4 linked regions of the Schizosaccharomyces pombe genome follow. Changing the gene in region 3 together with the main gene of any one other region gives a genetic interaction. Each region holds a gene or a part of one and is shown on either strand. Other genes may lie near its edges. The genes, in order: rnf170, spn1, amo1 and kap114.

The links.
Region 1: mutations in amo1 (region 3) and rnf170 together harm fitness less than expected from each alone (positive genetic interaction), as found in Schizosaccharomyces pombe (one large-scale study listed by BioGRID).
Region 2: mutations in amo1 (region 3) and spn1 together harm fitness more than expected from each alone (negative genetic interaction), as found in Schizosaccharomyces pombe (one large-scale study listed by BioGRID).
Region 4: mutations in amo1 (region 3) and kap114 together harm fitness less than expected from each alone (positive genetic interaction), as found in Schizosaccharomyces pombe (one large-scale study listed by BioGRID).

The regions. Positions count from the first base shown.
Region 1 is NC_003424.3:4,089,503-4,094,277, reverse strand, and holds rnf170 (ubiquitin-protein ligase E3), read right to left. Parts: upstream 2,157-4,775; 5' UTR 1,950-2,156; coding exon 1,194-1,949; 3' UTR 1,156-1,193; downstream 1-1,155. Other genes in the region: rbm8 (RNA-binding protein), read right to left, coding at 1-101; rpl3401 (60S ribosomal protein L34), read left to right, coding at 511-849; MAPK-activated protein kinase Cmk2, read left to right, coding at 2,199-2,213, 2,254-2,456, 2,522-2,618, 2,921-4,120.
Region 2 is NC_003424.3:4,850,590-4,856,377, reverse strand, and holds spn1 (mitotic septin Spn1), read right to left. Parts: upstream 3,339-5,788; 5' UTR 3,293-3,338; coding exon 3,113-3,292; exon of another isoform or gene 3,076-3,112; coding exon 2,479-3,075; intron 2,434-2,478; coding exon 1,801-2,433; 3' UTR 1,179-1,800; downstream 1-1,178. Other genes in the region: kinetochore protein fta1, read right to left, coding at 1-835; mannan polymerase complex subunit Mnn9, read left to right, coding at 5,057-5,788. UniProt on the Schizosaccharomyces pombe protein: Plays a role in the cell cycle. Involved in a late stage of septum formation leading to the separation of the daughter cells.
Region 3 is NC_003423.3:3,027,694-3,032,898, reverse strand, and holds amo1 (nuclear rim protein Amo1), read left to right. Parts: upstream 1-2,673; 5' UTR 2,674-2,706; coding exon 2,707-3,961; exon of another isoform or gene 3,962-4,021; coding exon 4,022-4,194; 3' UTR 4,195-4,214; downstream 4,215-5,205. Other genes in the region: SPOM_SPBC15D4.13C (ASCC1 family protein), read left to right, coding at 1-10, 77-138, 189-407; protein mug98, read left to right, coding at 770-803, 842-1,149; SPOM_SPBC15D4.11C (Mam33 family protein), read left to right, coding at 1,558-1,844, 1,986-2,139, 2,178-2,528; met3 (cystathionine gamma-synthase), read left to right, coding at 4,626-5,205. UniProt on the Schizosaccharomyces pombe protein: Involved in the cell polarity process where it is required for the correct termination of microtubule growth at the cell ends during interphase.
Region 4 is NC_003424.3:2,372,166-2,379,524, forward strand, and holds kap114 (karyopherin/importin beta family nuclear import signal receptor Kap14), read right to left. Parts: upstream 4,388-7,359; 5' UTR 4,221-4,387; coding exon 4,115-4,220; intron 4,059-4,114; coding exon 1,837-4,058; intron 1,797-1,836; coding exon 1,627-1,796; intron 1,606-1,626; exon of another isoform or gene 1,580-1,605; coding exon 1,461-1,579; exon of another isoform or gene 1,419-1,460; coding exon 1,248-1,418; exon of another isoform or gene 1,212-1,247; coding exon 1,138-1,211; exon of another isoform or gene 1,099-1,137; coding exon 979-1,098; 3' UTR 887-978; downstream 1-886. Other genes in the region: SPOM_SPAC22H10.02 (uncharacterized protein), read left to right, coding at 1-207; ppa3 (protein phosphatase type 2A), read left to right, coding at 5,190-5,350, 5,417-5,487, 5,600-6,291; SPOM_SPAC22H10.05C (cleavage and polyadenylation specificity factor complex subunit), read right to left, coding at 6,563-7,359. UniProt on the Schizosaccharomyces pombe protein: Required for nuclear protein import and mediates docking of import substrate to distinct nucleoporins. Serves a receptor for nuclear localization signals. Mediates the nuclear import of TATA-binding protein (TBP) and of histones H2A and H2B.

The sequences.
Region 1 (4,775 bases), on a different chromosome or scaffold from region 3:
CCAAAATCTGCAAATAAATCCTCTACTTGTTCTTCGGTAGCTTCTGGATGAACTCCAGTGACTATGATGATATAACCTTCGACAGATTTTGCTGGTCGCATTATTCTAAATTTTAAAAATTGTAAGAAGGAGATTTCAACGAAATGTTTGATGTTCTAATGCAAAACTCAAAAACCACTAGACATAAAAAGGGATCAGATCAATGAAAATAAGTTGACTGGCCAAATAATAGAGGAGTTAGCTGGATACACTTAGTAGAAAATTGGAATTCTGCATGCACGCTTACTTGCGAAGTAAAAATCCTCTGTAACGATTCCTAGCCAACGCATATGAAAAGCCACAATAACCTACTTGAATTTATATACGTTATAAAACTTATAACGAAGTACGCTACTCTGTATTTAGAAAAAAGGGTGGCCTACCGAGAGTAAAAACAGTCACACACAACACAATTTCCCAAATAGCTGAAAAGGAAACCTGCGCAGAACAAACGAAAAAAATCTAACAAAAATGGCTCAACGAGTTACCTACCGCCGTCGCCTTGCTTACAACACTCGTAGCAACAGAACCAGAATTATCAAGACTCCTGGTAACAACATTCGCTATCTTCACATCAAGAAGCTTGGCACCATTCCTCGCTGCGGTGATACTGGCGTCCCTTTGCAAGGTATTCCCGCTCTGCGTCCTCGTGAGTTTGCTCGTCTTTCACACAACAAGAAGACTGTCCAGCGTGCTTATGGCGGTTGCTTGAGTGCCAATGCCGTTAAGGATCGTATTGTTCGTGCCTTTTTGATTGAGGAACAGAAGATTGTCAAGCAAAAGCTCAAGCAATTGTCTTCTCAAAAGTAAAAAGCTGATTGACCGATTACTTTTTACTGTTCCCTAATTTACTTGGATTTCTTTAAGTGGAATAAGAATCTTTTCGGTGCAAATATTTTATTAACTTGTAGATGGTGGTATTTACAAATAATCGTATCGTAGACACAAGGCTTAATTGTAGTAAGGAAATGCAATTTTGTGAGTAAGTAAGTGCATGCTTTCATAGAGTACACTGCTATTGAATTTTGTATGGTTCTGAATAGCGCATATAATTTTATGATATTACAAGTAAATTTTTACTATCGTACTTTTCGTAGTCAACAAAATCATAAATAATATCAGTATAAGTTATTCCATTACTTATTCATCTTTGACTAACCCATTGTCTGATCAGGCAAAGCAAATCTAATTCTATGCTTGCAAATGGGGCAAGACACATTATTTACAAGTTTCAATCGAGACATAATGCAAGCATAGCAATATGTATGACCACAATCAGTAGTGTAAGGCGTAGTAATTGCTACGCGTTCATCTCCCCTTTGTACACACATCATACAGAGTCCACATTCTTGAGGAACAGTGGTTTCTGCGGAAGTTGTGTACTCCTTATACTTAATCCACAAAGAAGCAGGGATACGGGTGCAAAAGAGTGCATCTACAAACCCAACTGCTATTTGTTGAAACATTCGAAAACTTCCTAACGAGGAAGTGGAAAGTTCTTGGAATGACCCTAACTCTGGTAATGCTGTCTCTGAGATTAAATAACTCTGCAGCCCATTAATGAAAGTGTTTTTCCCTGACATGGCGGATAGCCCTTTCCAAAGACCTATAACACAAATAATCACATTCAGAAATCTAACTATTTTCCTAACATTAGCTGATAAACGCTTTCGTCCTAGTAGTGCGATTAGGGATTTGCATATAACGAGAGAATAAAGCCATTTTTTTGACTGGTATTTTAAATTTATAAATATTAATTCCAAAAAATGAAGGACAGACTCTTTGGTGGAGGGCCGTAGACCAGCTACAATGAAGCTCAGCTCATTCGTTAAACTGCGAGTTGTTTGAGTTGCAATATCTGCTTCAAGCATCAAGCTCCACCTCGAAGTCGCTAATTCCGACTCTATCATTGTGTTTATATTATTCAGTGCACCAAATATCGAATGAGAAAAAAAAATTTTTAAGTTGCGTATTACTGCTTAAATCAAGCCATTGAAAGTATTAAAGATCTAAATTGATCGTTATTAGACTAAAAATTAATCAATGTTAGAGTATTTTGATAAAAGATAGCAAATTATAGATTTTTAGGGCAATATTACTGGAATGTGGTGAGCGTTGGCGTCAGCTATGCACCTACCCACAGCGTATATCAATGCAACATGTCGATACTAGCGGTACGCATTCTTCCTTGCCACTTATACTAATAGGTCTTAGGGGTTTAAAAACTTGTTAAAGCATTCGAAAAGCTCAAAGGGGAGATCGAATGCTTCAAAGTCGGTTGATGTTAGTGTAAACAGGGACGTCGCCGCTTATACTGAGCTTGCTGCCAAAAATGTCAATGCCGGTGGGGATGAAGAAATAAGAGTCGCTAACTACCCTGGTCTTGAAAAATATCAGTTAATTGAAAATTTAGGAGAGTAAGTTATGTCCAAATTTCTTTGGCGTTTTTTATTATAGTATGATCATTTACTGACCCAAAAAGTGGTGCTTTTAGTCAAGTTTATAAGGCGTATTCCATTGATCGAAAAGAGCACGTGGCAGTTAAAGTAATAAGAAAGTATGAAATGAATAAAAAACAGGTATGTAAATTATTGAAATTAATGACTTATTTATTGAAATTTGAGAGGGATTTGGGTTTTTGGAGTCTTCATCAATTTTCAAAAGAAAGGGTTGAATAATAACGTCTCAGCATGAAGACATAGTTTTGTGGCTATACTTGGCAAACTACAAAGGCCTTGTGCAATTTTTTGACATGAATGAGAATGAGTTAGTGAAGCTAGAAATCATTATTCGCACATTGTATTATGAAGTTGTTGTTGCCCATTCCCCTTTCAAATATTCTATCAATTATTTTATTATTGTTTATCTAACTCTTTTTCAGCGGCAAGGTGTATTTAAAGAGGTTAACATTATGCGTCGTGTTAAGCACAAAAATGTGGTCAATCTTTTTGACTTTGTTGAAACAGAGGATTTTTATCACTTAGTTATGGAGCTTGCTGAAGGAGGTGAGCTGTTTCATCAAATTGTTAATTTTACCTACTTTTCTGAGAACTTGGCACGACATATAATCATTCAAGTGGCAGAAGCTGTTAAGCATCTTCATGACGTTTGTGGAATTGTTCATAGGGATATCAAACCAGAAAACTTATTATTTCAACCAATTGAATATCTCCCATCTCAAAATTACACCCCACCGAGCTTAGAACCAAATAAGCTTGATGAGGGCATGTTTCTTGAAGGTATTGGAGCGGGCGGTATTGGAAGAATACTGATTGCTGATTTTGGATTCAGCAAAGTGGTTTGGAATTCTAAAACCGCAACGCCTTGTGGAACAGTTGGTTACGCTGCTCCTGAAATTGTCAATGATGAGTTGTATTCTAAAAACGTTGATATGTGGGCGATGGGTTGTGTTCTTCATACGATGCTATGTGGGTTCCCACCATTTTTCGATGAAAATATAAAAGATTTGGCTTCTAAGGTTGTTAATGGTGAATTTGAATTTTTATCGCCTTGGTGGGATGATATTTCCGACTCTGCTAAGGATCTAATTACCCATTTACTCACTGTAGACCCTAGAGAGAGATACGATATTCACCAGTTTTTTCAGCATCCCTGGATTAAAGGAGAGTCAAAAATGCCTGAAAATTTTACGTATAAGCCCAAACTTCATGGCACGCCAGGTGGACCGAAATTATCCCTTCCACGCTCGCTCGTTTCTAAAGGTGAGATCGATATACCCACGACACCTATCAAAAGCGCTACTCACCCTCTTTTAAGTTCTTATTCGGAGCCAAAAACACCCGGTGTATCATCTGTACATGAGGCAATGGGTGTTGCTTATGATATTCGTCGCTTAAATCATTTGGGATTTTCACCTGAACAATTAAGCAAGAAGTCAATGAATACTGGCTCTATCAAAGAACTCATTTTAGATGAAGAAACTACTACCGATGATGATGACTATATCATTTCTAGCTTTCCTTTGAATGATACTTTGGGAAGTGAAGGTAAGGATCCATTTTCTTTAAATTTGAAGGAATCTTCTTTATACTCGAGGCGATCTGCTAAACGTGTTAATTGAACAAACCTTCTTTTATATCCTTCCTTTTGGCTCAAATCTAGCTTCCAGTTTACAAGCTGATGGTTAGAGTTATCTCTTTTGGCTCTTTTCATCTATCGTCATTGTTATTATTATATCATTGCTGTACACTGTGCACGACTGCTATTTATTTTTTCTAGAGTTTTTAAGTCGTTTGGCATTTATTTGTTTTCTCTAAGCGCACCGGCCACGCCAACATGATGGCCCTACATTCTTTTCTCTATGTTTAACTTTCAAGTTTTAGTTTGATTCTCTTTTTAGTGTTCTATCTTTGTTTTAGTCTTTCAATTGTTAAAGCATTAAGTTTTATTTGTTTACATTCTAGTTTCTACATTACACCTTTTCCATTTATACATTTTCAAAGTAATATAATACCATTTAAAGATGAAAATTTAATTTAACAGTAAAGTATGTATTAATATTTTCTTGGGTTAAAGGATACTTGTTTGGAGAAGAGAATTTCAAAACTATGCAGGCATTCGTAAAAAAAAAAGTAAAAATAGAATCTAAAGAATGTATACACGCAATAATTGGTATGGTACATAGCATGAGCATTTTGACGATAATGGATGTTAAATCGTCAAAAGATGAGAGAGCGGATTGGTTTGTATTATATCTTGCTAAAGGTTTTGGAACT
Region 2 (5,788 bases), on a different chromosome or scaffold from region 3:
CGGGCAATTGCATGGGCTCAAGGGCTAACAAAACATCAAATACAATATTTTGAGCTTTAGAAAAGATTTTCAGCTTGCCGGACGATGTTAGAATGGCACAATCAGTGTTCACTTTGGAAAGTGAGAATACTGAGTTTGTCAAATCTAAAGAAGTACACCTTTTGATATGTTCCATAAGAATTGGGTAGAAAAATGAGGAGCTACGGAAAATTTTTTTTAAATCTTCAGGTCTTATGGAAATTGTGACTGATGAAAGATTAGGATTTCCGGTTGTCCAGGTCAACTCAAGCGGGAGGGCTGTTTGACTATTTACATGATTTTGCCAAATTTTCAAAAACTCTAAAAGTATTTCTGGAGCAATTAGGCATGGTAAAATTTGTGTATCAAATTCCTGCTGGAGGAACTGCTCAACGGCCATCCATAGCGCCCCATCCATACGAACAAGAGCTAATGAAAAGAATACAGAATTCCCTTCAAGCGATAAACGTGTTCTGTCAGCCTCCGCGTGGGAGAACTTCCGAAATGACTCGAAGAAAAACATCTGGCCTTTGCGTTTCACCTCTAAATCACTAGACGTCTCATACGAAATATCCAGCTTTAAAAATTTAGGGAAACTAGATGTGTTTCCGAACTCCGTAAACGTAGCTTTCTCAATTATCAAGTCAGCAAACCTAGTACTATTTGTAAAGTAACCAGTACGATCAGTACCATAGCGAAGAAATCTCGTAAGCTTTTTACCTATTTCAGTCAAGTTTGAATATTCAAACCCAAACAAAGGAGACAATCGATATGCGGTGTATGTTACATTATAAAAATGGTGATCCCTTAAAGTCATAGTCAGCCTGAGCTAACACTTCAAAACGCTCTAATGATTTTGTTTCTGCTAGCGATTTTTGGGATCATTAATTAAAGTACTTAAAAAAACGTTATGAGTTATTAACTACATTGACCTTCATCAAATTAATGAAATATGTAGAGGTTGCTACCTTTTTTACTAATCGCTATGTATCATTATATAAGTCACCGTTCAAATAATAATAAAGAAACTTGAGTATCAACATTTTTTACAATTAAAGATACTGGTGGCATATATGTAAATATAAATTTCATTTATTTACTAATACTTACAAAGAAAGAGAAGCTCATAATGATCCTTCAAATATTTCAAATTGGCCAAGTAACTTTGTTCTAATACCCCGCTAAATTTATCGTTCGAAATAAACATTTTGTACAGTGGTAAATAGTATTCAAGCAAGTAAACGTATTTAGCATCAAACCGATCTTTGTATTGAATGACTTACAACAAATCTCATATTTACTATTCTATAACACCGAGAAGGTATCAATTGCAACAGTGTTTTTCGTTTAACCGAACAAAAATTATGCAAAAACTAAAGTCTAAAAACGACGTCGCAAGCAAATCTCTTCTAATAATATATGCATCAAAATTTTTTCGACTCTTTCAACTGAAATCTAGCTGTCTAAATACCCCCACTGACTGGAAAATAGATATTTTTCGATAGATTGAAAAATACACTGGCAATAAAAGAAGCAAACTCCCACTTTAACGGGTTGAATAGAGATAAGCCGGCTGTTTCAATTTGTTTGTTCAAGCAAAATGTCAATTAGTGAACCTCCTAAAAAAGAAAATTTCGATAAAAATTAACGACTCCATATGGTAGAATAATCAAGGAAAGATATACAGCCCAATATTGGACTTTAAGTAGTAATTAAATAACAAAGAAGGAGATAGCAGTAGAACTGCGGTGTCATACAAATAAATATCAGCTAGTAAGGAGACTATTTAAAAAACTTCCTTTTACTCTTCTCATTTTCGGCCGCAGCTTTAGCTTGCATTAACCGATTTTTGTGATCAATTAAGTCAGCTTTTTGCTTCTCCAATGCTGCCTTCATTTCGCGATGACGGGTACGTAACTCGTTTTCAGATTGTTTAAGACGATCTTCTTTTTCTTGAACCTTCTGAGAAAAAATGGTTTTCATTTCTGCTTCCATTTTCATCAATTTCTCTTCGTGTAAGGCACGCTCCTCTTCGAGTTTAGCACTAGGGTTGACTTCACGAAAAACGGAGTGATCTTGTGATATTCCGCTGCTAAGCAACCGTTCAGTACGATACGCTTCATACAGCTTATTTGTCTGTTCTTTGAGTTCTTCTAAGTGTGTTCGAATAAGCATTTCACGAAGCTTAGGGAAATCAGAATGCTCTTCATTATCGACTTCAACAACGCCCCATGGGTACCGCCTCCCGCGGACGCGCTTTCCTTCATTGTTGACCACGAATGTATTAGAAGCAATTATAGCAAAAGGTATTCTACTCATGATGTCTGCATTTTCTGCCACTGATTCAGGATCATCGGTCTCATATGTCGGAGGGAAGAAAATTCTGATATTGTGGTATTGGATATCTCTCAAAATCTATCATTTTTTCATTAGCAACTTTAAATCAAGATTAGGGCTTACCATTTCCTTCGTAAAGTTAAGTTCATCATCCGTTAGTGTATCGGCTTTCGCAATGATGGGTATAATATTTACTTTCTCGTGCAAAGCCAACATAACTCGAAGCTCCATAGCACTTATAGCATGACCAGTAGGCTGAATAAAAAATATACAAGCATGAACTCTTGGATCTTGAATAGTAGATCGAGGATTGTGCTTTTCAAGCTCAAGATATTGATCATAGCGACCCTCGATATCTGTCAAAACTGGTTGCCAACAATCGGTGTTGTCAATAAAATCGCCAAAACCGGGTGTATCAATTACATTTAATTGAAGACTGATACCATTTTCCACTATTTCAACTGCAGAAGAGTTGATCATAACAGTGGGTTCTGGGTTCACTCCAAAATCCCCAGTTAAAGATTTCTGGGTCGGTGGGTAAACATCTCTATTCAATAGCGTATTCACAAGTGTAGATTTCCCTGAACCGCTTTCCCCTAATACTAATACGTTGAAATTAAAACCTTGACGAACACAACGACGATGCCATTGATTAGGAAGACTAGCGAATCCAACGTATCCGTTCAACTGACGCTGGATTATACTAACGTGCGGATTGAACTAAATATTAGTAAAGGAATTTTAAATAATTGATTACCTCTTGTTCAGAATTATCCTGAATGGGTTTTTCTTCATTCTTGTTTTCTGAAATGGCTGCCTCAACATTTATTTGCGTTACATTATCTGTAGATGTGAAAGAATCAACGTCGGAACCCCTGCTTCTAGTGGAATCATCTTTAACTGTAGGCATACCATCCGCGAGTACCATTGACGCCATGTCAGAAATTATCGAAAACCCCCGTGTTGGTGGTTATGTATGTGATGAAGAGTGTAGCTAGGAGCTCGAGCATGAACATCTATTTGCTCAAGTAGGAAATTAAACTTAACCAATTTTTTTCTTAATTATGTTTCACGAAATTATAGAGCTTTTTTGAAATTTCTTAATTCACTGTCGCGTCGAATTTAGGTCCTTAACCTCGAAATATACACGGCTGGGATGCATTAAATAAAAAGATACTAAACATTGTTATTCCATTGTTTTAGTTGTCTTGTTAATTTTACAATTATTTTTTTTAACAATTGGATAAATCTAATGAATTAAAATTATCCATTATCTGTATTTGTTTAAAAACATTTTTTGACCTTTTATTTATACCTAAATTATTTGTTTGAATACCCTTTCAGCATGCAATCATCTAAATCTTTTGAATTTAATTTAAAATATTTATTTTTCTATTAATATAGAACCTTGGGCAGTAGTCGTTGAATTGAGCATTAATGCAAATCCAATTTATTGCACAACTGATTATTTATTCAATTGAACTTGTACGTCGACAATGTGACCCTCAACGATTTTAAAGATTTAATTATTAGACATAAAACACAGTTAGAAATTATTGCCTGGCCAACATTTTCATGCTAATAGATGATTCAGAAACAAATATCTATATTTCTTTTCCTACGAAAAAGTAAGATCAAACTAAAACATTAGAAGCTTGTTTACCGTATATTTTTGATCTTAAAGGACTTTTAAGATAAATTTGAACTTATTATAAATAATAAAATGTTAAAAAAAAATTTAACATAATAGGATCATTTTTACTAATTAAATAACGATTATATTAGTCTTTATAACAGCGTTTACAGTCTCCGAATTGCAGTATAAGCTCTAAAACTCAATTGAATAAAGGCATTTAATAGTCAATCATTGTTTTGTTTTCCTTCTAGCTATTTCAGCTCTTCTTGCTATCAAAGCACGGAATGACTTAACGCGGTGTTGTGTGGCTGGTATCAGAGAAAGAATAACTCCAGTAAAGGTACGCAAGCAATCCCAGTATGTCGTCGTTAAAACTATGAATATAATATGTCAAAAATTAATGTGAAAAGACGTTAATCAACACAATATAGAAGTACGTGTCTTATATTAAGAAATCGAAATATCTATAATTGAATTTAATAACGAAATCTTGCGTGACTACGCTATTAATTCTAGTTGTTATGAATACAGATGGGATCAAGGTAACTGGTATTCACCTCCTTTTCGACGTAACCAGAGCCACACATTATACTGGACAAAGGCGTTCTCTGGCGGCGGAATCGAACCAATATATAAGAAAACACTCAAATTCTGGGTTTATTGGAGGAAATTTTTTATTTTAAAAACAGTTTCTTTTACTCGAAAAAGCGTTTTTAATACTTCTTTCTTTGGCTTTGTTTTTACTCGATAGGGGCAAAACCTGTACAAGCTTGATTCGTGAACGTACGACATAATCCTTTGTTTGTATTAATGCTTAAATTATCTTAAGTATTTATTAACGGGGTATTCACTAGTTGAAATACATTTATATATATAAGGTGTTACTTTCGCGACTACAGCTGTTAGCCGTTGCTTTTTTAAGGAATTCGCATAATTATTTAAGAACTCGATTCTGTTTAGACCCACAAAACAACATCCAGATTCGGGTTGATTTTAATTTTTAACTCTCTATTTTTATTACTCTTATTAAATTGTGCCCTTCCATTTTTATTTATAAACTTTAAGATGCGCGTGTACAATAAATCTAGAATTGTAGGGCAGCTCCTTTTTGTGGCCCTCGGTATTACTTTCATCTATTACCTATTTACTCCATCTGTCAATTCAAATGCCAAAGTTCAGATTGAAAACCGTGGGGGGAATTCTTACGAAATATACGATATGAACAAAATTACGGAATCTTCCGATCCCATTCGTAACAAAGAGGAGGTGTTAATCTTAACTCCTATTGCTCGATTTTATCCACAGTATTGGAAAAATCTTCTTGAGCTTGACTATCCGAGGAATTTAATTTCTTTAGGGTTTATTGTTCCTTCGTCAAAGGACGGTGCAAAAGTTCATCGTGAACTTCGGAATGCTATCAATGCTGTTCAGAAAGGTCCAGGCGATAAGCGTTTTGCCGATGTTAAAATTTTAATCCAAGACTCTGATCTTTCTTCAGGGCAATCAGAGGCCGAACGGCATAAATTTTCTGCCCAGAAGGAGCGTCGGGGAAAGTTAGCTGCTACCAGAAATACATTGCTGTTAAGCACTCTAAAACCTAGTACCTCTTGGGTTTTGTGGCTTGATTCTGACATTGTAGAAACTCCCTCCACGTTAATCCAAGATTTGGCGGAACACAATGAAGACGTGTTGGTAGCTAATTGTTTCCAAAAGCAAGGCGATAAACTAACTCCTTATGACTTCAATAGTTGGGTCGATTCTCAAACCGCGCAGGAGCTTGCAAGTCACATGGACAGG
Region 3 (5,205 bases):
AAGCATAATGGTAATGACTTACAAGCCTTTTGTGGTACGGAGTTTTTATTTTTTTTATTAATAAGCTAATTCATAGAATGGTTAAAAGTTATTTTCACTGAACACAATCTTTTTACTAAAGACGCTAGACCTCTTACTGTACGCATTATGCGATGTTAACCAAATTATAATTTTGCTAACAAAACTAGCTACACTGCACCTTGTTAAATTCCAGGTATATAAAATACCAGGGGCGACGTATCAGGTTTTTTAATTCGGAACCTTTTATGGAAAAATACGGTCAATTTCTTTGGGCTCATAATATTGAACTTGATAAACTAAGTATTATGAAAACAGGCGCTGTTGGAGAACCGGGTAATATGTATTATGAAGAGTTAGCCTCAATTCCTTTACTCGTTAATGATTGATTATAAAGGTAGTAGTTGTTGTTTACAAAAACGCTTTTGGAATCGATTGTTTACCACATGATAGTCACATGTGTAAACAAATATGAAATTGGTCATAGAAGTAATATCGGTGCAATTTATAACTCATTTTGTTTTGACGAAGCACAAATATATAATATAGCTCCTTTTACCATCATTTCTCGAAATTGATTGAAATTTTGGAAACTATTCAAATTATTTTGAGATCCTTTATTATAATTGATTTCACATATACATGCTGATAATTTGACAATGGAAGACAAAATTGAAGGTAATAAACGAACCATTCACATCTTTTAACACATCTCATAGTTTGCTTGCAAAAGGCTATTGCTGTCGACACAATGAGCATTCCGGTAATGCAGTTAAAGCATGAGCGTAAGTAGACTAATTTATGTTAAATTATTAATTATTAGTTGCGCTTAAAGCCCGAGAAGAATACCTCCGAAAAGAACTTCCTTTGAAAGTTCGAGCAAATACTTCTCGCATGAACCCCGGAGCTAAAACTTGGATTCCACAAATTAATCACCGAAAAAGTAGAAATCATTATAATCGTAAAGAAACATGCCAGTTTCCCCCTCTATACAATGTTGAAGCTAAAATAAACCATTCATATTCTGCGTTTTATCGTCCGTTTACCAAACGTGAGAATGGTTTGTGGTATGCGAATCCGTATTATATGCAGCATGGTCCAAACGGAAATTACCATCACGTTTATTATTAGTCATGTTTTCAAAATTTTGTGCCAATTTTTTCAATTTCATTCAAAAACCGCATCTTCATCATTATGGTTATAATCGACGCCGTTAAAAAACCAGGAAAAAGAATTTCATAGTCTTAATTTCTTTATTTTTTTCTTTAATCAGATGTCTACAATAATGATTTTTCCATTAATTATTTTCTTCATCCATTGCTATGGTATACAAGCACTTTAGTGAAAACCGCTGTATTACTTTAAAGTCACTGCTTTGCGTACTTCTCATAAGGAAGCAAATTCAGTTAAAGTGCTTATTGTCATATGCCCCATTGCATTAAATATTTATAATCTGTACAATTCATCAATCCATTGAAGAAGCAAATCTTTGTTGGACGGCTTGTAACAATTCTATTCTTCAGCTTATTGCACTTCAAAATGCTCAGAAAAGCGATCTCTACAGCACGAAACTTTAAATATCCTTTATTTAATTGCGAAAGGAGGTTTTCTTACTTTGATATGTTTCGTAGTAAACGAAAATTTACAAGTGGTATCCTAACGGAGCAACTAGCGTTGAAATTAGATTCTGAACTGGGTTACGTGAAACAGGTTCTTGATGAGACATTACCTAAAAAAGGATACGAAAAGGCTCTTCATTCTTTTATAATCCATGAAGATCCTTCGCTTAACTACATTTCAGCTTTAAAAGAAACGGCAAAGGAAAGGTAAGCTATTTTTCCTCAATTGTTTGTTGAATTCAACGATGTGATTTCATGTCTATGCGTTGGCTAATATACAACGTTTAAGATTATGCTTTCAGCAGAGCCTTTAAATTTCTTTCGATATAATAGTACTAACGTAGCTAGAATACGCGTTACTGTTCCCGTATATAGCTCTCGTAAAAGTTACGTCCAAACAAAGCCGATAACGCATAGTGCTGAAAATGAAAATGGTAACGAAACATCTGATGAACTAGTGTTCTTTCAGCATTCAATTCCTGCTTATGTCCAACTCACTAACGTAAGATCTTAACATGTTATTATAACTTACAATTATAGAACCATGGCACAATTTTGTGTGCTTTAATACTTTGTAAGGGCATGCTTCATTTTGATAGCATTTCTTTTCAATCACCTCAAAACTCTCAAGCGTTCTCATCTGACTTGAGGTTAATTTTACAAAAATCACAGAAGTACACTGGCAGAAAAACAAAGCACGTTCCAGCTTCTATCAAGTCAAGTTTACTTGAATTCTTGGATGAACAAGGAATTACAGTAAAATTCATGAAGGCGCTAATATCTCGCAGTTGGCGAAAAGAAAATGTCTCCTATAAGCATTGGATTCATAATATTATTGGATTTATTTTACCTTCTGAATCATCAACAACTAAAAAATCAGACTCCCAATGATGGTATAATTGTTCTTTGAATTCCTTTACTTTATGATTAATTGGAGCAATAACGCTACACCACACTACGATTCCAAATGGGACGCCCACTCTAAAAATAAGAAAATTTGGAGTATAACATATGATTATGATACATTTTTATACTTATCTTTAGCATATCATTTCAACTATTCAACAACATGGTCGTTTGTAAGTATTTCCTTCAAAATCGGTGCAGGTATGGTACCAATTGTAAAAATCAACATACGGTACCTTCTAATGGACAAAATGCATTTTCTAAGGTTAATGTCTTTCGTCCAGAGAATGGACGACCTCCAATATGGGTACAAAGGCGTTTGAAGAGAAGCGATTTAGATAATTTGCTTCCCAATAGAAGAATGAAGGATATTAACGACGATCTTAAAAACGCAAAACCACAATGGCCTTTTACAGGTTATTCAGTAGTTGAGAATCTACCATCAATTTATGAAGGCGATGTTTCGCCTGAAGAATTGCGGTGGTGGGCATATCAGGCTAAAGCGACAAACAATATGCAAGCATATGAACAACGCCAGAAACAGTTGATGGATGATGTAGAAGCAAAAGCAGCAGCCGTTAAACGGTCGCCTGCTGCTGCTTTCGATGAAATGAGAAATAAACTCGTCGGAAAGACAAATTATAAGTCAATTTTTGATAAGTCTACTAGCAATTCAACGGTTACGTCTAATCAGTTCAACAAGCCAACTCAAAATAGTCCTTTCAATTCTTTTTCAAATAACAATAATTCTTTCAATAACAATCAGCAAGCAAACGATATTTTTGGCGCCCCTACGACTTCTGCATTTACATCGCAATTAAATGCGTCTCCATTTTCTCAAAATACATCCTCAAATTCATTTACGGGAAGTAATCCAGTCCAAAACAACCCATCTTCTTTTGGTTCGTCTAGTTTTGGTTCGGCAACCTCAGGGCCATCAGCATTTGGGGGAATATCTCAGCCAAATTCGTCATTTGTTAATTCCGGACAAGGGATTCCTAACTCATCATTCTCCTCGTTTTCACAAGTTGCTTCTGGGTTTTCACAAAGTCAAAATGTGAATGATCCAAGTTCGATTTTCGGTCCTACTGTTGCCAGCGGTTTTGGAATACAGAATCAGCCTCAGCAATCAGCTTTTCAAAATTTGAATACTCAATTCTCGCTTCCTAATAATTCACAACCAGTTTTTGGTCATACATCTTTAACACAACCAGTGAACCCAAATGGTTTTACTGTTCAGCCCCCTGCTACTTTTATGCAACAACCTCAAGGCCCTTTTGTTCCGCCTAATACTACTTTTGAATCTCCATTTGCCAATGTAACCTCTAAAATATCCGCTTCAGGATTTTCTAACGATAATCCTGCTAACAAAAATATAATCCAAACTCCTATGTTTGGATCTTCTAACACAATTGACGGTAAGTTTTTTTACTTTGTATCCTTGCTAGTATACGAATATGACTAACGATCATCGACAGGTCCGATTAATCCAATAGGTGCTTCTTCTATCCAAACTTTGGATGATCAAGTAGAAATGAGTAATTCCAATCAAAATCTCGCATTTCCCCCAGAAATGATTCAGCAATTTGAAGCTCAAGATTTCATTCCCGGAAAAGTTCCAACAACAGCCCCTCCACCACAATTTTGTTAATTATTTTATTAAAATAGTTATTCAACGTAAGTTTTTTCGGGGATTTTTGATTAGTATTAAACTTTGTTCAAATTTCATATTCGATATTAGGTTGTAAATATATATATATATATATATATGTAATTTCAATTACGAGTATTAGACAAAGTGTGATGCTTTCCTACACGGCTATCTGATAAAGTTGTACCTAACTCGATTTATGTATCATTGTAAAATTCTAGAAAGAAAACAGTACTATTTTTTGTTATTAATTCATGAATCAAACTGATAGCTGATTTGATATAGAGGACAGAACTGTCCTGCACGCCTATTGGGTCTAAAGAGATGGTTGTCCCAATTCCACACACAATTCACTCCAGATTTTTGCAAGAACCCAAAACTTTTGTTTATGGCTATTTATATATAAATCTCAATTTTATTTAATTCTTTAAATGTCTGCAAATATTTCTTACCTAGTCAATCCACCTACAGAGGTCGGTTCATCAATTCCAGCTGATACTGAACATGCCATTTCAGTTACTTTACCTACATGGAAATCCAATGTTGGATATGAAGAGGGAGATCCTAATGTAACTACTAAAATGAAGTCAGGATATCCGAGGTTCTTTATAAGCGCACACGTCAAGGATTGCATTAGCATCATAAAGAAATTTCCAGAGATTGAGATTTTGAAGCTAAAGGACTACGATATGTTTTTGTATCCTTCATTATCCGTTGCTAAGCAAAGTGCAGCTTTTCTTGAAAGTAAAGGACCTATAGACTCTGCGGAAGTCATTATTTATGATGCCACGAAGGGACTGCGAAAACATCTTGATTCAATTGACCGAAATCGCAAATATACTGAAGAAATACACATACCTCAGGTTTATTCTGTATTGTTTCCATCCAAATACTTTGGGATTGCCAAGCAATTCTGGCAACATACGGGGGACGGTATTTCAAGCAGACGCGCAGCTGCTTTTCTGCATTCCTACAAAAAAATTCAGTCTATTTCCGAATTTTTGGTTGCCC
Region 4 (7,359 bases), on a different chromosome or scaffold from region 3:
ATGACCCCCAATTTGTATCCTAATGTACTTCCTAATGTACACCCAGGGGTTTCTAATTACACCCATCATCCTTTATCTGGATTACATCAAAACGTCGGTTCACGTACTCGGAAATCTTCTGGTATACCAATTATTGATCCTGTGACTCGTGCTCCTGCTGTACTTGCTGGCGCTGTTTCGAGCTCACGTGCTAAGCAAATGTGGTAAAGTTTGTACTCTTTTGTTTTAGCAATATGTTTATAGGCGTGCCTTTGTGCATTTTTACGTATTTAAATTCTGGCATATCTTCTATTTCTGTTATTTAACTTATTTGTATATCATTGGTTGTTATCTGTTTTATGATTCTATGGTTGCACTGCATGCTTTTTACATATCCTTTGTTTTTAGTTTTCTTTTGACTATGGATTCCCTTGATTTTACGAAATAATCCCGTTCCTTTTTGTGACTTTTACCTTTCGGTAGCTTGCTGACCTGGTGTTTCTTGAATTTTTGCATAGATATACGGTGGCATATTTTAATGCCGATTTACCTAATTTTGTTCTTTTTCAGTCTTAATTATTTTCATATTGAAATGCTCATTTACTTGTGCCATATTAATCTCCAGATAAGACCTTATTTCATGCTCGTTTATCTGCACTTTGTTAATAATTACCATCATACTCTCTCCAATAAAATGGTAATTATTGGTATTATATAACCTTGTTTTTATGTTTATAATGAACTAAGTTTGTCTGTTTATTTTAATTTAAAAAATGTATCTTTTGAAAGAATTAATTTACCAACTTTATTCTTCATATACTTTAGTCCCTTTCAGCTTAAATAATCCTTTTGACCTTATACCTAGAGCCTTAAGTACTCTGAAAGGTATAATTTTACCCTACTTTCCTTTTAATGCACATGATATTAGTAAATGTTATAGTGCAAGTAAACTATTGGAAATCGTTCAGGTATTCTTGATTTTTTAAATCCTTTACACCTTTATTTTTCTTTAATTTGAACGAGCGCATCCTGTTCTTCCTGAGGTAGTCTAAAAACAACCTCGTTGATATTGTGCAGATTGCTTTTCATAGCTTCCTTAAAAAACTCTAGAAGATAAAACTAAAAATGTTAGCCCTAAAAACCAAAACTTTAACCCACCTGCAAATCAGTATTATCCTCATCTTCTGAATTGTCTACGCCAGAAAATTCATCTTTGGACAATTCGTTAACATCTATTGTTAGCCTTTTCTTTTAAAGGTCTCGCGTACCATTAGCTGATAGCCCAAACGTCTCTGCACTGATAGGACCGTCATCCCAATCATCCGCTCCATCATCGGAAACTTCTTCAACAATTGCATCTTTAGACAACGAAACAAATTCCTCTGAAAGTAGTCGCAATATTTTTTCTCCAACGCTTACATATGAATATTCCTCGGGATCTAGTTTTGGTTAATGAAAACTATCAAAAGCTTTTAACATACGAAGTTTAGACTGCGACCGGGTTATAATGCGATTAGAATGAGAGATAAGTTCACCTTTAACTTGAACTGAATCAAGTAGAGGACTGTCAAAAGAATAAATTTTAGTCATAGCAATACAACTTTCAGGTTAGAATTTATATAAGCATCAAATAATATAAGGACATACATTATAGAAATGTTTTTGAAGTTGCTAAAATAAACAAAGTTGTCACACCAAACGGTCATAAGTACTTCAAAAGCCGTTAGCCCTTGTTCATTTAATAAAGACGATGTCAAGAAGTGCATCATTCCCAAAGAGTCCTTAACAATTAATTTGGCAAAAACGTAAATTATACTCTAAATAAAAGTCAGAAACAGGTATTCAATAAGAACTTACTTGAATAAACCGTGGTTGTTCAGCTATTGCCAATCTCTTAATGCAAGAAAGAAGAATGGACTGAAGATCGACCATTTGACTTGCGTGATCAGCCAATTCAAGTAAGATAGGCCCAACTAAAAAGCAGGCGGAATCATCACTCTCTTTGTCAAGTAACTGATGCAAAATAAAAAGAATGTATTGAAAGCCACTACTACCTGAAATCTCCGTTTCCAATAATTGTGGTGTGTCCTTTTCCAAAAGCCCCTTAAGAATTTCCTGAGATAACTGAAGCAGTTCTGTGTCTCCAGAATGAATTTGAGTAATCTTATAAACAGGGGGCAAGACATATCCAACAAATCCATTAGGAAGTGGTGAAGGACCTGCACGAATCAAACAAGAAAGCAAGGTAGCCCCAATATTAACCATAATCGGGTCTTCTTGATTCAGGACCTGTAATAGTTCTGGCAAAGTAATTTCACACATACTTTCATAGTTATTTGCCGCATGGATAATGTCCTCAAAGGTGTCTTCAATAATTCCACAGATGTAAGGATCAGAAGCGTTCGTAGCAACCAAATTAAATAGAAGTGGAATAACAGAATTACCTAATTCAGCAGCCTTTGCACAATCAAGTTTTACCGCAGAAGAAATAGCTTCCACAAGTAATACAAGAGCTTCATCGCTTGACTTCGAAGCATACTGAGAAAGAACTTCCAAAATCATCGGCTGCAAAGAAAGTATCGGTTTGACTTTTCCGACTGAACAAAAGCGCTCAATAGCTTTCATAGCAGCATACTGTACAGTATCAACTTGTAAAGCATTAACCAAATTATTCATTATTATTTGGAAAAATTGAGAGGCTACTACGGTGCTTTCAGAGAAATATCCGATAAAGAGGAAAAACCTAGAAAGAAGTAAAATTGGAGCATCGGAGTAATCAATACGGACTTTGATAGCCTCGTATATGGGGTCCAAGTAATCATCATAAGTGTCATCTGAAGCAGCATCCACGGAACAACATGCATACAAGAGGGCTTCTTGATATATCCAATTGATTTCATTGTTTAATATGTAAGTCGCGGACATTTCTCGTAGACTTTGCTGGATTGGTAAAGTGGTATGCTCTTCAAATGCACTTAGTACGCTGATGGCGGCACCGCGAACCGTATCACTAGCAAAATCCATAGAAAATTCGTTTGCGATATATTCACTGACATCGCTTTCATATACTTCAATTTGATGCTTAGGTAGTTGCGTATATTGCACCAGAAGTGGAATGCAAGGAGGTAAAGGAGGTACGGGGACCGTATTACTGACAAACAAGTTTTGAACAAACTTGCTTTGCAAAGCTACAGAAACGAATAGCAGTAGTTCAACTAAATAACGAATAGGGTATTTATCACCAAATGCTGAATCATCTAAACCATCGCTAAAAACAACTTCTCGTATATATGGATCTAGTAACTTTTCTATAATATTCCAAACAAGTTCGACGAAGGTCACAACGTACGGTGTCAATTTAGAAGGAAACAATTCGCGAAGTTTTGTAAGAGTCATAGCAATTTCTCCCATGATACAAAAATAACCACAGGAATCAGGTAAAATAACTTGTCGATCATCAACGAGGGAAACTTCAAACTTGTGCGAGAACATATCCATCCAAGGGGGAAGTATTTGTTCAAGAAATACACGAACATGTTCAGCTTTCGTTTCTTTATAAATCTCAATAAGTTCTAGGCAAGAACGAAACAGTTTAATTCCTCTAGCTTGCAACATCCTCATGGAATCATTAGGGGGAGCGGAAAATATAAACTGATAGAGAATGGATGCAAGTTGAGGTGCAATAATAAAGAACTGTTCTTCAACAAGGGACTCATCTACAAGCTCGTCCAGAACATCCAGTGAAGCATTAATAGAGTTTTCATTAGTAGATTGTAAAAGATGCAGAACGGCCGGTACAACTTCTGGCCATTCATCGGGATAATCCACGTTTGCAATTAGAGAAACAGCATATGCCACAGCCTTGATTAAAGTGAAATTGTCAAGGCTCACTAAAAGATGTAATAGTGTTTCTCTGACATGTTTTTTGACATTTTCATCGGGTATCGGTCCATCTTGAAATTGCTCAAACAGTGGAGACCAATGGTGAACAATATATCTTTGTAAATAAATGAGAGAACCTTGTCTTAAAGGAACAGAAGCACCAGAAGATGCGATATCTGTTAACTTCGCAGCAAAATCTTCGTAAAAGATAGTTAGTAATTTTTTCGGTTAGTTTATAGCTTAAGTAGCATACCGTGATATTTCTCAAGGTCTCGTAACCCCAATTCGGCTTGTATTCTTGAATTAGGATCAGCAGATTGCACTTGTTCAAGCAGCTTAATGATTTTGCTTTCAACCATTTAGCGTGATAATAGACGTTAAACAATTGGTAGGTTTTGATGCTATCTGCTTAAAGAAAGTAGATAATAATAAATATATTTATGTACAGACGGGTATAGTTAACCCCTTAAAAATGGCTGTATTTAATAATTTTTTATGCAGGTATAATGCAGGTACTACTAAGAGTGAAATGTTACTAGGAAATTCATGTTCAAAGAAGTGGATGGTAAATAGGTGACATTGTCACTTAAATTGCTAATGTCTAACAAAATAGTGTTAATTGAAACAATAATTGCTTGTATTGTTGTTCATTTAAAAAAAAAATTAAAAAGAAAGGCCATGTAACTATTACTATTTTCATTCTTGATTTTCCTTATATTTTAATGTATTGCATAACTGAGTTTTTTAATGACCGACTGATCTTTGAATACAAGAATATACCTAATCAATTATCGCTTATTTTCAACCGAAATATTTATCTGATGGTCTGAAACGAGAGAAGCACTAAACCTTTTCAGCAGAAGAGACAGATATTCATATAGAATGTCTGAAAGAATTTTAACACGTTTTTCAAGCATTATGTAATTTTTGTTCTTTGGGTATACCATTAGAGGCTTTCTTAACTTAAAATCTCATTGGCGAACTACACAGTATTATGTATTAATCGTGTAGTTTCGATCACTGACAAGTCAGAAACCAACCTCCAAATTTCATAAAACTGACACATACAACATTTTAGTGGAATTTTTCTAATGCGTGCAAATAAAGAGAAGTAACGCGTAAGCTTTCCATATAAGAAGTGCTTAATCCTTTGTTTTTCGAAGCGTATCCGGTCAAAGCCGATTAGACTGATACAAACCTTGGGTGAAATTTTCCCTAGCCAAGCACTGTTTGTGTCTTCTTAAATTATATATATCCAATACAAAACGGTGCAAGACATTGTTTTTGTATTTTAATAAATCTCACTAGTTTCACGGAAATTCCTAAAGATGATTGACCTCGATAACATAATAGAGAGATTATATGAAAAACAATTGATTGCTGAGTCCGTTATTGCTTATCTTTGTTCTCTCGCAAAGGAAGTTTTAATGCAAGAAAGCAATGTTGTCAGGTTGTCTACTCCCATTACCGTGGTTGGTGATATTCATGGGTATGCATAGATTCAATATTGCAAAAAGTTCATTCTTTGTGGACATTCTGCTTACAAAGTATATAGCCAATTTGATGATCTACTTGAAATCTTTCGTATAGGAGGCCCATGCCCATACACAAACTATCTTTTTCTCGGTAAGTTAAAATGATGTTCATTAGAATCACATTAGCTGATTACTACAAATCATTAAAACTGAACATTGAGAACACAGCACATGCTTTATTATTCGTTGCTAACTATTTGAAGGTGATTATGTTGATCGGGGCTATTATAGTATAGAAACTATAACCCTTTTGATATGTCTCAAGTTACGGTATCCAAAGAGGATTACTCTTTTGCGCGGAAACCATGAGTCCAGAGGAATAACCCAAACCTATGGATTTTATTCAGAATGCTTAAGAAAATACGGTAATGCTAATGTTTGGAAATATTTTACCGATATCTTTGATTTCCTAACACTTTCTGCAACAATTGATGACACTATTTTTTGTGTTCATGGTGGACTTTCTCCTAGTATTCAGCACATAGATCAAATCCTTGTCTTAGACAGGTTTAGAGAATTCCCACACGAGGGACCTATGGCCGATCTCGTGTGGTCGGATCCGGATCCTAGCGTGCAAGAATTTTCACTTTCGCCCCGTGGTGCAGGTTTTTCTTTCGGTGAAGTTATTGTAACAAAATTTCTAGAATACAACAATATGAAGCACATCTTACGAGCTCATCAACTATGCAGCGAAGGTTATCAAATATTGTTTGAAAAAAAATTATCGACAGTGTGGTCTGCCCCAAATTACTGTTACAGATGTGCCAACTTGGCTAGCATCCTTCAGATCGACACAGATCAATCAAGATTTTTTAATGTTTTTGATGCAGCTCCTAATCAAGAAACGCCTTTTGTGGAGCCAGCTGCAAAAGTGACAGCGGAATATTTCCTTTAGCTGGACCTGAATTGACAAATGTTAATTTTTTTCTAGCCTCTTTCAATCTATCCTTTATGAAGTTACTGTCGGCATTATATATAATATTTTCAAATCATCGTTCATTAATCGTCGTGCTTTGTAAACCTAGAATTACAGAACAGCGCATCATGCTTGTTTTTTAACAAAAAAATAAGTTTATCTAACGAATATATATAAATGATATAATTTGCATAATTTTTAGTACTCTAGGAACATGTATAATAAGCTCGTGTAACATTAAACGTTGAATTTACTCCTGCCATTTGCAAGTTCCCATTATTAAAGCATTGCTGGGAAGTTGTTCAGGAACTGGAGACAAAAGAGTCATTCTGTTTTTAACATCATCAACGTCCGAAACAAACACATATCCTATGATACATGAGTCAACAACTGTTGCTTCATCTTCATCTTCGCCGACACTTGAAACTGCTAAAATGGAGTTTTGTAAAATGGTCATTGCTTCAGTACTAATTCGCTCCAAAAATTCGCCCTTGCCATGTAATCTTAAAGATGTATTTCCATCTTGCTTTTCAGATTGAGTATTTTCTTCTTCAAACCCTAAAGGAAGGACAGAAGACTTAGGTCCGCTTTCAGACGCCTCCAAAACACGATACACTACCAGTTGGGTGGAATCAACTATCATAGACAAAGGAGAAAGAGGCATCCGATCATCACCATAAAAGTATTGCTTAATGCAACGAGCCTGAAATTGTTGAATCCATTCTTCTTCGCGATCAATACAACCACCACTTGATGAAACTTTCACCACAGACAACCAGGTCGCATCAGCATACTTACGTTTCATACTGCTGTACAATCTCTCTGAACCAAGTACAATAATAATGTTAATGCGGAAGTCTGTAATTATAGAATGAAGGATATCCTGATACTTCTCAGCATTTTCTTGAATGGATGAAGTATCTACCAAACAACCAGACACTCGGGCATCTTTACTTTGGGACATTCTAGAATGCACCGCCAAAGCTAGCCTAGATAATGAAAGCTTATAAAGCTTAGGATTATCAAGTGGTGAATCCAAACCAAAGT